4 linked regions of the Cricetulus griseus genome follow. The protein of the gene in region 1 binds, or shares a complex with, the protein of each later gene. Links are inferred from orthologs where the notes say so. Each region holds a gene or a part of one and is shown on either strand. Other genes may lie near its edges.

What was found. Proteins that work in one complex are often made in the same cells at the same time.
Region 2: Nhp2 (region 1) and Tert share a complex: the UniProt entries of both Homo sapiens proteins name them as parts of the telomerase holoenzyme complex. The link is inferred for Cricetulus griseus from reciprocal best matches to the Homo sapiens genes NHP2 and TERT.
Region 3: Nhp2 (region 1) and Wrap53 share a complex: the UniProt entries of both Homo sapiens proteins name them as parts of the telomerase holoenzyme complex. The link is inferred for Cricetulus griseus from reciprocal best matches to the Homo sapiens genes NHP2 and WRAP53.
Region 4: Nhp2 (region 1) and Dkc1 share a complex: the UniProt entries of both Homo sapiens proteins name them as parts of the H/ACA small nucleolar ribonucleoprotein (H/ACA snoRNP) complex. The link is inferred for Cricetulus griseus from reciprocal best matches to the Homo sapiens genes NHP2 and DKC1.

Annotation. Positions count from the first base shown.
Region 1 is NC_048600.1:65,901,354-65,905,579, forward strand, and holds the start of Nhp2 (H/ACA ribonucleoprotein complex subunit 2), read left to right. Parts: upstream 1-1,426; 5' UTR 1,427-1,508; coding exon 1,509-1,668; intron 1,669-1,765; coding exon 1,766-1,835; intron 1,836-4,226. UniProt on the Homo sapiens protein: Required for ribosome biogenesis and telomere maintenance. Part of the H/ACA small nucleolar ribonucleoprotein (H/ACA snoRNP) complex, which catalyzes pseudouridylation of rRNA.
Region 2 is NC_048595.1:368,314,578-368,318,077, reverse strand, and holds part of Tert (telomerase reverse transcriptase), read right to left. Parts: intron 3,240-3,500; coding exon 3,126-3,239; intron 2,808-3,125; coding exon 2,736-2,807; intron 428-2,735; coding exon 239-427; intron 1-238. UniProt on the Homo sapiens protein: Telomerase is a ribonucleoprotein enzyme essential for the replication of chromosome termini in most eukaryotes. Active in progenitor and cancer cells. Inactive, or very low activity, in normal somatic cells.
Region 3 is NC_048600.1:83,400,026-83,402,337, forward strand, and holds the end of Wrap53 (telomerase Cajal body protein 1), read right to left. Parts: intron 2,311-2,312; coding exon 2,178-2,310; intron 1,589-2,177; coding exon 1,380-1,588; intron 1,229-1,379; coding exon 1,125-1,228; intron 1,010-1,124; coding exon 875-1,009; intron 768-874; coding exon 521-767; 3' UTR 501-520; downstream 1-500. UniProt on the Homo sapiens protein: RNA chaperone that plays a key role in telomere maintenance and RNA localization to Cajal bodies. Specifically recognizes and binds the Cajal body box (CAB box) present in both small Cajal body RNAs (scaRNAs) and telomerase RNA template component (TERC).
Region 4 is NC_048604.1:743,458-746,957, forward strand, and holds part of Dkc1 (H/ACA ribonucleoprotein complex subunit DKC1), read right to left. Parts: intron 664-3,500; coding exon 543-663; intron 1-542.

The DNA of each region.
Region 1 (4,226 bases):
GGATTGTTATGCTTGTGTGTGTTACTTTGACATAAGTGTGAAGTAAAACTTATATACTCAAAACCAACTCGCTGAGTCTGTCATTCCTCCCAGGTCAAAACCTGGTAAGGGCTCGAGACAGAGTTCCAGAACCATTAGGGCTACACAGAGAAACCTTGTCTCAAAAATAAATAATAATGGTGTACACCTTTCATCCCAATCCTCAGGGAGTAGCGAAGGTGGATCTATTTCAGTTTAAGGCCATCAAAATCTACATAGTGAGTTTCAGGACAGGCAGGGCTAATTAATGAGACTTTGACTCAAAAAAACAAAAACAAAAACAAAAACAAACAAAAAACCCACACAAAGAAAAAAACACCACTAGTAGTTAATAAGTTCTTTATATTCATAAGCACTCCTGATGTTGATTTTCTTCTAAAGACGTATGGACTAGGCCGGGCGGTGGTGGCGCACGAATTTAATCCCAGCATTCAGGAGGCAGAGGCAGGTGGATCTCTGTGAGTTCGAGACCAGCCTGGTCTACAAGAGCTAGTTTCAGGACAGCCTCCAAAGCCACAGAGAAACTCTGTCTTGAAAAACCAAACAAACAAAAAAAAAAGCATGGGGCAGTTTGACTCCCTCATTAGTAGCTGGACTCTCCCTTGTTGCCCTGGCTGCCTGGAGCAAAAGGACAGTCAGTCTCACAGCCACCTGGGCCTCCTTTAGGCCAGCTAGCTCAGCTGGTACTTTCTATAATGCCTTCAGAAAATGATATAAGCACTTTGGCTGATTGCCATGGCTCCTGAAAGCATAGCCTCAGGCAAGACTGTTTGAAACAGTGTGTATCACTGTTTCAATCTGATGCCTGGATAAATGAATTTATATCACTACTTTTGTTTTACTTTTGAGGCAGTACCCTACTATGTTGCCCTAGGAGGGTCTCACTGTGTCGTCCTGGCAGGCCTTGAACTCACTATGTAAGACCAGGCTAACCTAAAACTCACACAGATCTACCTGCCTCTGCCTCCCCAGTGCAGGGATCAAAGGCGTGCGGCTTATAGCTTGAGCAACAATATTCAGGAAGGGAAAACGAAAACTTGAAAAAACCTTTAGCGGCACCAGGATTCAGCTAACCAGTAGCATCAGGTCACACCTGCCCAGGAGCTCAGGAGCCACACTACAGATTAATTCCTTTCGCCCCGCCCCTCTTCCCTTCCGACAAGACCCGCCTCTATCCCTATGGGCTCCGCCTCTCTATCCAAAGGCCCCGCCCCTTTCCCCTCTGAAACCCGACCTCTAAACTCCGCTACCGCGGGCGAAATCCAAACCCCGTGCCTAGATTGCCTTGTGACTCCGCCCCTACAGCCAAGACCCCGCCCCTCGCAGACATATTTACAGATTGGACGGTACAGAATACCTCGTTTCCCAATTGGTCACAGGGAAGGGCAGCTTCATGACCCGGAAGTGATCTCGGAGGCGGCGGCCGCGTGGTTCGTGTATTCACCTACTGGATTGCCGCAGTCTCTAAGATGACCAAAATAAAGTCCGTTCCGGAGGAGTCTGAGGCGCAGGCGGAGGGCTGCAGCGAGGAGCGCACGTACGAGGAGCTGCTGGTCAACCTGAACCCCATCGCGCAGCCGCTGGCGTCCCGCCGCCTGACGCGCAAGCTCTACAAGTGCATCAAGAAGGGTGAGGCGGCAGGGCGCGTGGCGAACGCGGGGCGGAGCGGGCGGCGGGCAGGCGGGCACGGGCTGGACGAAGTCGCGGCTCACCCTTCTCTTTGCAGCCGTGAAGCAGAAGCAGATTCGGCGTGGGGTGAAGGAGGTTCAGAAATTTGTCAACAAAGGCGAGAAAGGGTAAGAACCAATCCTCACATTGGTTTTTAAGTTTTATGTGTGTGGTTTTTTTTTTTTTTTTTTTTGCAGCTCTGGGGATTGAACCTAGGGCCTGTGCATGCTAGACAATTAACTCTGCCACTTGAGTTTGCGTTTTCAGTTGGTTAAGACTGAATTACACCTACTTAAGTGCTCAGTAAAGGTGAAGTTTACTCTGGCCTGAACTGCCTTCACTACAGACACCCACATCACTTACAGGAGCTCCCAATGAACTACAGGGAAGAGAACCCAGACCACGTATCCCGCCCTGTTCGTTCGTTCTGTGGATTGGCAGTTCTTTTCTGGAAAGCTTCAGGCAACATGCTGTAGGGAGACATCTTCCCAAGTAGGCCAGAGGAGAATGAGGGCTACTTTCCACTGCATAGCAAGTTTAAAGCAAGCATGACTATGAAAACGTTACAAAAAACCAAAAGGATAGAATGATAGCCGGGAGTGGTGGTGCAGGCGTTTGTTTAATCCATCACTTGGGAAGCAGAGGCAGGCAGATCTCTTGAGTTCCAGGACAGCCAGAACTGTGTATAGATACACTATCTCAAACTAACAACAAAGGAGAGAATGGATGAATGTTGGTTTGGGGGTTTGGGATCCTGAGAAGTATCTCATGAAGGCCTTTCAATTTTTTTTTCTTTTTGACTTATTTTGTGTGTGAATGTTTTGCCTAAACATATATGTGTGTCACTGGTGTCCTTGGAGATCAGAAGAAAGCAAAGTGTCAGATCCCCTTAGACTGGAGTTACAGATGATTATGTACCACCATGTGGGTGCTGGGAATTGAATGTGGGCCCTCTGGAAGACCAGCTGAGGCACCTCTCTAGTCCTTGTGGGGCTTGTTTGGTTTTTGTTCTCAAAGCAAAGTGAACACTGAGAAGTGCTATTGAGGAAGAATCAGGAGAGGCAAGTCAGACTTAGGAAGCTGTTGCTGTAGCCCAAGTGAGGGGTCGGGACTAGAGTGAAGGTTGGAGGATTAGAGAGGACAGTGACAGGTCTGTGCCTCCCGTGCGCCCGTTTGGGGTGTAGTCTGTGACTGCAGACAGTGAAGGAAAACCATGTTTGTCTGAAAACACTTTAGGTGTGGTTTTAGACAACTTTTCAGTATTTCAAAGGGTACCTTTATTACATGTGTATGTGCCTGCATACATATGTTGCATACATGTGCACTCTGGTGCTTATGTGGGTGTCAGAGGACAACTTGGGAGAGTTGATTTTCTCCACCATTTCCGTTCCGGGGACTGACCGAACTCAGGTACCTGGGGTTGGCAGTGAGTGCTTATATCCACTGAGGCATCCTGAGTTGACATGGAAAATGTCCTGGACATGCTATGCTTCCCTGTCCTCTTAACAGATGGTTGTGTTTGGTGGGGCAAACGAGGCCTGGTATTTCCAGGTGGCACCTGGCACCATGATTATGGGTCAGGGTAGCCAAGGAGAAGGGAGCACAAGGGAGGGCAGGCAAGCAACAGGCAGTGAGGACCAGTGCTAGGCCAAAGGGAATGAACTATGGAATCAGGGTTTTGAACCAAGGATTCTTGATCTGTCACTCACCCTTAAAGAATATTCTTCCTCTGGGCGGATCATTAGGACTATGGGTCTGTACAGAACACTGACAACTCACAACTTTAGTTGACATTTTTACTCTGGCAAACTTTCTCTTGGAGCCAGGCGTTGGTGGTGCACACCTTTAATCCCAACACTCGGGAAGCAGAGGCAGGCGGATCTATGTGAGTTCGAGACCAGCCTGGACAGCCTCTAAAGCCACAGAGAAACCCGGTCTCGAAACGGCCCCCCCCCCCAAAAAAAAAAAAAAAACCTTTCTCTTGGGACAGACCCTGTCTGTTTTCAGACCCCTGCCAATTTCTATGGCTTTGTTTTTTGGTCCTCTCCTGTATGTATTGCAAAAGGCGACCCTTGTTCTTGGCAACCAGCCTTTCAGTACCACTCTGTTCCCTTGGCCTTATTCTGTCCCTGCCCCTGCCATTCTAGGAGCCTATTTGTGGCACTCAAGTCTCTGTTGGAGTCATCTCCTAGCCGGGCAGTGGTGGTGCACACCTTTAACCCCAGCACTTGGGAGGCAGAGGCAGGCAGATCCCAGTGAGTTCGAGGTCAGCCTGGTCTACAGAGCGAGTTCCAGGACAGCCAGGACTATCGTACACAGAAACACTGCCTCGAAGAACCAAAAAAAGAGTCATCTCCTAGAATGTCACTGACACTTAAGAGCTGAGTTTCTATTTCTTGGCATTCCTCCCATACCTCATCTGTCCCAGCATTGTACCGCTTGTCACATTTGGTGGTATTTATGTGCTGTCAAATAGAGATCATGTCCCCCAGAAGAAATACATTTGCCAAACACGACTT
Region 2 (3,500 bases), on another chromosome or scaffold:
AACAGGATGGAACACCACACAGCAGGAGCTCATGGTTCCTCAATAGGGGAACCATGGATGTGGATTGGTTCCCCTACCAGCAAATGCTAAACCGATTACTTGCCTATGAGTCAAAGACCTCCGGGGTGAGTTGCCCCCCGGAGCTCATGGTTCCTCAACAGGAAAAAGAATGGAGCATCCCATTGCATCTTCTGCCCCCAGGAGCTCATGGGTCCTCAACTCAGCCAGATGTACTTACCCAGTGTAGTCACAAAACACCTCCAGAGTCTGAGTGTCCAGCAGTAAGCCACACCAGGGAAACAGGCAGTGAGCAGGCAACTGGTGTGGAGCTGTACCATCCAGGGCACCAGGGTCCACAGGGAAGTTTACCACTGTCTTCTGCAAGTTTATCATGCAGCCGTACTCAGGAATGCCATGGACGAGGGCCCTGAGTAAGAGAGGAAACATTGGTTATGGAACCCTGGAAGCACACTCAGCACATGTCACAAAGATACCCAGAGATGTTCTGGGATCAGAGAGAGTGGGTCCTTGTGGGTAACCCTGATGGAATACCAGGCAGTCTTGGTCCAGACTGTAGCCTGGGGCTGCTCTTCTGTGTAAGCAATAGGGCCAGCTCAGAACAAGATGGCCAGGAGTCAAACAAGTAGGAAGGTTCACATAACCATCTGATGGTTATACCTTAACATCCATGTAGCAAGGGACCCTCTCCCCCTCACCCAAAAAGTCTGTTTTCTTATACGTTGAGATGCCTGTAGATGTGGATTGCTTCCCCTCCCAGCAAATGCTAAACTGACTGCTTGCCTGTGAGTTGAAGACCTCCCCAGTGAGTTGAAAGTAAATGTGTACCCTTCCTCAGAGTGAACTCACACTGGCAGTCTGGCAGTAGTCTAGCTCCTGTCCCATGGGTGGGAACACCTGATGCCATCCACCTGCCTGTGACTAGTCAGTCCTTGCAGCTGCCCTGGCCAGCTCCTTGTAGTAAATATTTCCTACAGGTGTCCATGGACAGCCCCCACCTAGTGGCCCCATCACCTGGTGATCTGACATTGATCCAGAGCCACTTCCCTGACAAGGTCTTAGGGACAAAACTGACTTCTGGAACTTTCCTCAACAGCAGCAGTGTCTGTCCTCTGTCCCCAGTGGCCACTGTCTATGTATGGGCCATGTAGCTTCTGATTGATACAGATGTGACAGGGACACACTGGGGCTGTTCTCACCTCATTCTACCTACCTTGACATGCACAACCTACTGGGCTCGAGGACACTATGCCCAAAAGAGCCCTGTTGGGCAAATTTGAAACTGGACAGCATTTAGTGTTTCCAGAAACACCAATACCTCAGTGGTGACAACTTCTGAGGGCTCGGCTTAATTAATCACATTCAGGTTTTTCCTCTTGTCAATTACCCTAAAAGGAGGTCTACAAACTTCACAGCGCCTGAGGGGGCTTCCTCTATAATACATGATCTGAAGGAACCCTCAAACTCTGTGGTGCCCAAGGAACCTCACTTGATGGTCCTGCTCTGAAGCAGGGCTGCAGTGCTCAATTCTAGCTTGAACCACAAAAATTAACTTTACACCCAGATATGCAATAACCCTGACCTCACCTCTATATACTACAAACAGCCTGGGATACATACTATAACTCACTAGTATGAATATTAATGTAAGAAAAATGACCACTCCTAATACAACAGCCATGTCTCAAAACACCAATGTTTAGTAAGTACAAATTCTCTGGTCTCTTCCTAACAATCCATAAAGAAAAGTTACTCTACAGAGCCATGGGCCTGTTCACCCAGTGCCTGTTCTTCATGGTGTGGTGTGAAGTCTCAAAGTTATCAGGAATGGTTTGAATAGGTATGGCCCCATAGACTTATGTGTTTGAATGCTTGGCCCATAGGGAGTAGCACTATTACGAGGTGTGGCCTTGTTGGAGGAAGCATGTCACTAGAGCCAGAATTTGGGGTTTCATATTCGCAAGCTACACCTAGTGTGGCACACAGTCCTTCCTGTTGCTGGCAGATCAAGATGTAGAACTCTCTGCTACCTCTCCAGCACCATGTCTGCCTGCACAGTGCCATGCTTTTCACAGTGATGACAATGGACTAACCCTCTGAAACTGTAAGCTAGCCTCAATTAAGTGCTTTCCTTTGTAAGGGTTGCTGTTGTCACAGTGTCTCTTCAGAGCAATAGAAAGTCTAATTAACAGAGGCAGGAGGATCTCTGTGATTTTGAGACCAGCCTGGTCTACAAGAGCTAGTTCAGGACAGCCTCCAAAGCCACAGAGAAACCCTGTTTCGAAAAACCCAAACTCCCGCCCCCCCAAAAAACTCTAATTAAGACAGCTATGCTCACATCTTCTAGAAGGGCTAAGTGCCTTAGGCCTCTGCAAACAGCCCTTCTGTGGGCTTGGCTGGGAGGCATAGGAGTTACTGCCTGTTGTCTCATCTGAAGACTTTCCAAATACTGGAAATGACCCGGTCTCTGACCGCACTGCATCCTCGGAGAGACCATGTCGGACCAGCCATGGGTGCCATACTCTCTTCCTTGGTGCTGGAGGTACCCATGTCTGGCTGCACAGGTGAGGTGACCCTGCCACTTGGTAGAGGTGCCACTAGGTCTTGGTGACAACACGAGCTCCAGGAACACAAAATTATAAACCGATTAAATGTGCTGCCTCAGCTGCACATACATCATGATCATACGGCAGAAACCCAGGCATAGCAGTCCTTACCTGAGGAAGGCTTCCGCCTGGACCAGGTGAGGTGTCACCAACAGAAAGTCATCAACAAAACGCAAAAGCAGCCTAAAATGAGACATGTTGACAGGTTTCACACAGAATCCACCTGTAGGGGATCCAACCTGAAACATTTTAGGTGTCACAATGCACAAAGACAAAACAAAGTGGTATTTCAAAAGAAGATAAACGACAGCTTTACTGTCTTCCTAACAGACATAGCTCTGGTGCACTTTGCAGCTTTGCACGAAGTGAAGGCAATGGATGACCTTTACATCTCGGACATAAAGCAACTGTCACACCCACTCAGTGAGCTGGGAACTCCAAGTGTGAAGATATGGCAACTCATGACCCAGGCCCTTGGAGCAGTAAAAACAAGCAATTTACCCATCCTTCTGCACCTCAGCAAACAGCTTGTTCTCCATGTCTCCGAAACACAGACTGCAGAGCAGGGTGGACAGGCTGGAGCCCTGGGGGATGCCCTGGCACTGGACATAGCACCTGGGGATGGCAGTGGTGGTTAAGGTCAGAAGCAGCAGCCATGGTGGGCTTCACACTCACATTTGACAACCCCCCATGTATAAATATGTACACAGACATACACCATTTTGTAAACATGCTCAAAGACCACGTAAACAAACAGTAATATCTACTACTGTCAGTTGCCAAGACCCAAAAAGACTCCAAACTCAGTACCACCCTTATCTCTCCCATTCCCAACTCTTACTACAACCTGGGGTGGTGGGGGGCTACATCCCCATT
Region 3 (2,312 bases), about 17 Mb from region 1:
GATTACTCCTCCCGTGTGTCCTTGACTCTGCCTACTGGGGTGCAGGGGAGCACAGTGTTCTTGCACCCTTCCCCTCTGCAGTTGGATGAAGGTAAACAGTGCGGTGTGTGTGCAGCCATCAGCGCTGACTTGTCTGTCACTGTCTGCTTAGTCTCACACAGTCACACTCAACAGTCTGCCACTGAGCTCCTGACACCCCTGTTTAGGCCAACTCACCCTGACCCCTAATGCAGCCACCACAGGAGTGAGATTTCAAACAGGTTTGCTCCTCAGTTTACCAAGTTGCCTAGCAACCATCTAGTCAATGGCATGAGGCCCCACCCCCACCTGCTTGACTTCACACCATGCTCAGTACCTCATTGGCTCCTGCCTGGTCCCACCTCTCAACCCCTGGTTTTGGGAACAATATGCCAGACCCCACAGATGCTGGACAAAGGAATCTACTAATACCCCCACCAAGCTCCTACCAGTCACGTGCCACCCCAAACAGACACAATGACTCCAGTATTATACAAAATCTTTATATTAACTCATCCCCACAGCCCTCTGTCCTTCCTTGTCCCTTCTCATCTTGGTGGTCATTAGGGCTGCTGGGGTCTGGTCCCCCTCCACACCACCAGAGCTGAAGCCGCCATTCAGGATGGGCGTGGCATAGGGAGAGCAGGGGAAGATCCCCCTCCGGCTCGCCTTCATCTCCACTGTTGGTGGGCTCTGGAAACATGCGCTGGCCGGAAGCAGTAGCCAGTAGAGGCAAGCTAGGGTGAAGGCTGGAGGAGAGAACAGGCTGTCAGCACCTAGGTCAGGATGTCACCTGGAAGATCCACCTTCCTCCCCAACCCCCCCCTCCCCCAAGCCCCTTCAGTGAAGTGAGGACCTCACTCCATTGGTGCAGTCCTTCTGGGGCAGAAAAGTCATCACAGGTCCCAGCTTGCTGTCACTGACAGCTCCATTGATGTCCCACACAGAGACCATTCCATTGGTGTTGCCACTCACTAAGAACTGCCCACTCCTGGAAAAGAAGGGAAACTTGTGGGCAGATAGGCATCACTCTGGGGGTAGAAGCCATTCCTATCCAGGGGCTGAGGATGAACCTGGAAAGGGAAGAGGGGGGGACGGCCACTTACGGGTCCAGATCAAAGTAGATGCGCTGATTGGTGGTCACTTCCCGACTCAAAGACCACAGGAGGTGGCCAGGCTGCCGGAGATCCCAGCACAGAAGTTCGGCATCCTGAAGACAAGTACAGGAGTCTGAAGTGCGCCCCCCCCCCCAATTCTCTGTCTCCACCTCAGCACCCCCAAGTCCTCCAAACTTGGTTTCATCCCATTACAGACGACATCCCCAATCCTGCCGCCCACATACTCTGGGCTCTGACCAGTACCTTTCGGGCTCCTGAGAAGAAGAGGTTGCCATCGGGGTGAAAGCAAAGGTGGGTGATACCCCCTTGATGGCCTCCCAGCAAGGCGAGAGGAGAACCATCATCCCAGGCATACAGGCCTAGTGTACGGCCATAGGAGCCACAGGCGTAAAGGGGCTGGGATGGACTAAAGGCTATACAGGAGATGATGCCGCTCTGGCCCTGCTTCTTTGCTGGAGATGAAACAGGAGAACAATTAGCACAGGACAGTAACTAGCCTCAGCCCTCTGTACCCTGTCCTAGTACTGACATGCAGGGACTCATTCCCCACCATTTGTCACAAGCAATCTGAAGTTCTGATACTTCCCAAGTCATTTCACTCTCCTAAAGTCTCCCTCTCCCCGCTCATACCCCAGTTTTTCCTGGAAGGGATGGAGAGCTACAGGCCTACAGGAAACGGACTCCCTTTCCCTTCAATTTCATAAAGTTCAGTGGCACAGTGCTTGCCTAACAAGACCTTGGGTTCAATCCCAGGCACTGTAAGAAAGAGTAAAATAAAAACAATTTCTAGCTATTAACAAGGTTTTGAGAGACCACAAAGTACACATTTGACAGGCATGGATGGGTTAGGAGTTAACCTGGCTTTCTAGTCAACTGGTTGACCTTGGGGGCTTCCTCCAAGCTGAGTCGGTGTCTCTTCTGCAGCTGGCAAGTGCCACCCAGGCTTGTACTAAGGATGATGAGAAACCCACAGGTGGCCCAGCTCACACAAGGCCCCTTTGCAGGTGCTGTTCTTTCATCTCCTCCCCCTCGGAGGCTTACCAAATGTGGCTCGCACCTCGCAGTCTCTACCAGGCCTGGATGTGGAAAAGACACGCACAGTCCGGTTGAAGCCACAGAAGAGTTGGGAACCATCCGGGGAGAAGCAGAGAGAGTGAGCCGCTGTCAATTCGTCCT
Region 4 (3,500 bases), on another chromosome or scaffold:
AAAGGGCACAGAGCACTATAACTGAGTGCAATCAAAGAGTAGCTAAACCTTTACAAATTAAAAGCATGTGCCAGGTGGTGTTGGCACATGCCTTTAGTCCCAGCACTCAGAAAGCAGAGGTAGTTGAATCTGAGTCCAAAGCCAACCTAGTCTACAGAGGGAGTTCCAGGATAGCCAAGGCTAAAACAGAGAAACCCAGTCCTGAAAAAACAATAGAAGTCACTGACACTAATTACAAGTTATCTGAAAGCAAACAAGGAGTAAATTAAAATCTCTCCTTTAATCATCACAGACAACCATCCCTATACTCTTACACTGGGAGTTTCACTAAAGAGCCAAGAGCATATAAATGTACAATATTTCTTTCTCCTTAATCTGTACCTAATTATCTGCCCATTCATAAATTGTTCATACAAGCCCAAGGAGACACTCTAATTAGATAGAATTGAGGGACCATGATATTGAACTGGCCCATAATGAACCTAGCTTTGATGGTGCAGAGCCCCAACTCCAGAAATAATGAGGACTACTCCCCTCCTTACCCATGCAGATGGCTTCTCCTTTGGTGGTAATGACCACAATTTCCTGGTTGACCTCAATGCCATCCTCATATCGGAGAACACCAGGAAGCATGATCTTGGCCCCATAGCAGATTGCATTCACCTATGGAGACAGTATCAAATATGAGGGCGTGATGTTATCCATTATCCCTGTTCTACTTCCATACCAGAACAGAGAAAGACTATAAGGGGGAAGGTAGCCTGACAGTGGAAATAGGAGTGATAACACTAATAGTCCAATGACTATAATGAAGTATGAAGGAACACAGAACATTAAATAACAAATACCTATCACATGCTAGCACTGTTCTAAAATTTTTACATATGCTACACAATACTAAAGAAAACCTTAAAGATGACTCAGCAAGTCTGATGACCCAAATTCAATCCCAAAACATAGATGAAAGGAGGAAACTGACCCCACCAAATTAAGCTCTTAGCTCTAAATACACATTGCATTATGTATGTGCTCTCACACACACATACATCACAACACATAATAAAAATTAAGAATGCTTCCCCTCAATGGACTTTGGGAGCCCATTCCACATAGAGGATACTCCCTGAGCCTAGACACACAGGGGTGGGTCTAGGCCCTATCCCAAAGGATATGATAGACTCTGATGACATCCTATGGAAGGCCTCACCCTCCCTGGGGAGCAGAAAGGGTATGGGAGAGGTAGGGTGTTAGTAGGGGGAAGGTGAGGAAGAGGGAACTGGGATTGACATGTAAAACAATCCTGTTTCTTACTCAAATAAAAAATGGAGGAAAAAAAAAGAATCCCTCCCCTCCTCCTTCACTGGTCTATACAAGTAGGGCACTGGACTCTTATTATGTGGCCCATGAACATTGTCATCTAGAGCAAAAAACTAGAGATACAGTGCCTGTAAAAAAAATGTAAATCCAGTCCAAGGGGACCCAACACCATTTTCTGACCTTTGTAGGCCCCAGGTGTGCATGCATGCAAACAAAATATTCATACACATAAAACAATATGAATCCTGTCTTAGGGACCAGAGAAATGGCTCAGCAGGAAAAGGTACTTGCACTGGCCTGATTACCCAAGTTTGATCCTTGTAATCCATATGGTGGAAGGAGAGAACAACTCCCATATGTTGTCCTCAACCAACCTCTGTGTATATGCATACATATACATACAACAACTCCAGAGAAGCTAGGTAAAAAGGAGGACCCTAAGAAAGGAGGGCCCAGGAAAGGGAAACAGCTAAGATCTACTGGGTAAACTGGGAAGGAGGGTAGAAGAGAGGGGATGGGGAATAGGGGATGGGGGATGGGAACACAAGGGCCGAGTTGGGGGAAGAGATGGAAAGGGGAAGCAATGAAAAGAGATATCTTGATAGAGGAAGTCATTATGGGGTTAGGGAGAAGCTTGGTGCTAGAGAAATTCCCAGCTAAGACTCCAAGCAATAGTGGAAAGGATGCCTGAACTGGCCTTCCCCTATAATCAGATTGGTGGATACCCCAAGTATAATCATAGAACCTACATCCAGTAACTGATGCAAGCAGATGCAGTGACCCACAGCCAAGCACTGTGCTAAGCTCCTGGAACTTAGATGAAGAGAGGGAGGAGGGATCACATGAAGGGGGGAGTTAATACCATGATGGGGAAAAGGGAAAACCACAGAGACAACAGACCTGAGCTAGTGGGAGCTCATGGACTGTGGACTGGCAACTAGGGAACCTGCATGGGACCAAACTAGACACTCTGAATGTGAGTGACATTAGTGTGATTTATCTGTTGGGGGAGGGGCACTGGCAGTGGCACCAGGACCTATCCTAGGGGTATGAACTGGCTCTTTGGAGTCCATTCCCTATGGTGGGATACCTTGCTCAGCCTTGATACAGGGGGAATGGGCTTGGTCCTGCATCAACTTGGTATGCCAGACTTTGTGGACTCCCCAAGGGAGGCCTTACTCCATCAGAGAGTGGATGGGGGATAAGGTGGAGGGAGGGGGAACTAGGGCTAGTATGTAAAATGAAAAAAAAAATTAAATAGAAAAATAGTTTTGGGCCGGGCTTTGGTGGCACACACCTTTAATCCCAGCACACGGGAGGCAGGTAGATCTCTGAGTTCGAGGCCAGCCTGGTCTAAAGAGCTGGTTCTGGCCAGCCAGGGCTACACAAAGAAACCCTGTCTCAGAAAAAAAATGGTTTTACCATAAAACTAACAAGCAAAAACAAAAAATCAAAACCTGCCTCAGTGTTTTCTATCAGTGTTCCATAGAACTGCTCTTGGATTTTTGTCAGGAAAAAATAGCACATTTACTAGAAATGAAGCAATAACAGACATAACAGATACCCAAAGTAACATGCTAACAAAACCACCAGACCTGCTAAATCACATCTACATTTCTATATGGAATTAGCCTGTAAGTGCGAATTAAGGCCACTTCTCCAGTTCTGCAACCCCAAATGCATATGTATGTCCATCTTGCTGACCATATTCTTAAGTTCTCTTTAAATTCACTCAGAAGCCAACAGTCTGACCCCAGCATAAGAAAGGCACATCACATTTATACAATTATGTGGTTAAGCTTCCTGTTAGTGTAACACCTTAGTGTATCTCTTCAATTTTTCCCTTTATTATGAACAAAAACATAAGTTTTCAGAAGACTTACACATTTTAAGATTAAATATTTATAAGTATCTCACCACAAACTGTTACACATACAGAAATTTGTCTTTCAAAAAATCATGACTACATAATATTCACTGAAATCATTGGGACCATTTCTGATTACAAGGTAAATATACAATAAGAGCTGATGATCAGCTCAGTGAAGTCTGGATTATAGTGTCTCAAATGGTAATGTTCTTCAACAGAAGGAGCATTTGATTGAAATCCCTACAGGGTAAATAACATACCTCTGAAACTCTGTAGTCCTAACCTTTACCTATTGAAAAATCTTTTATAGTAA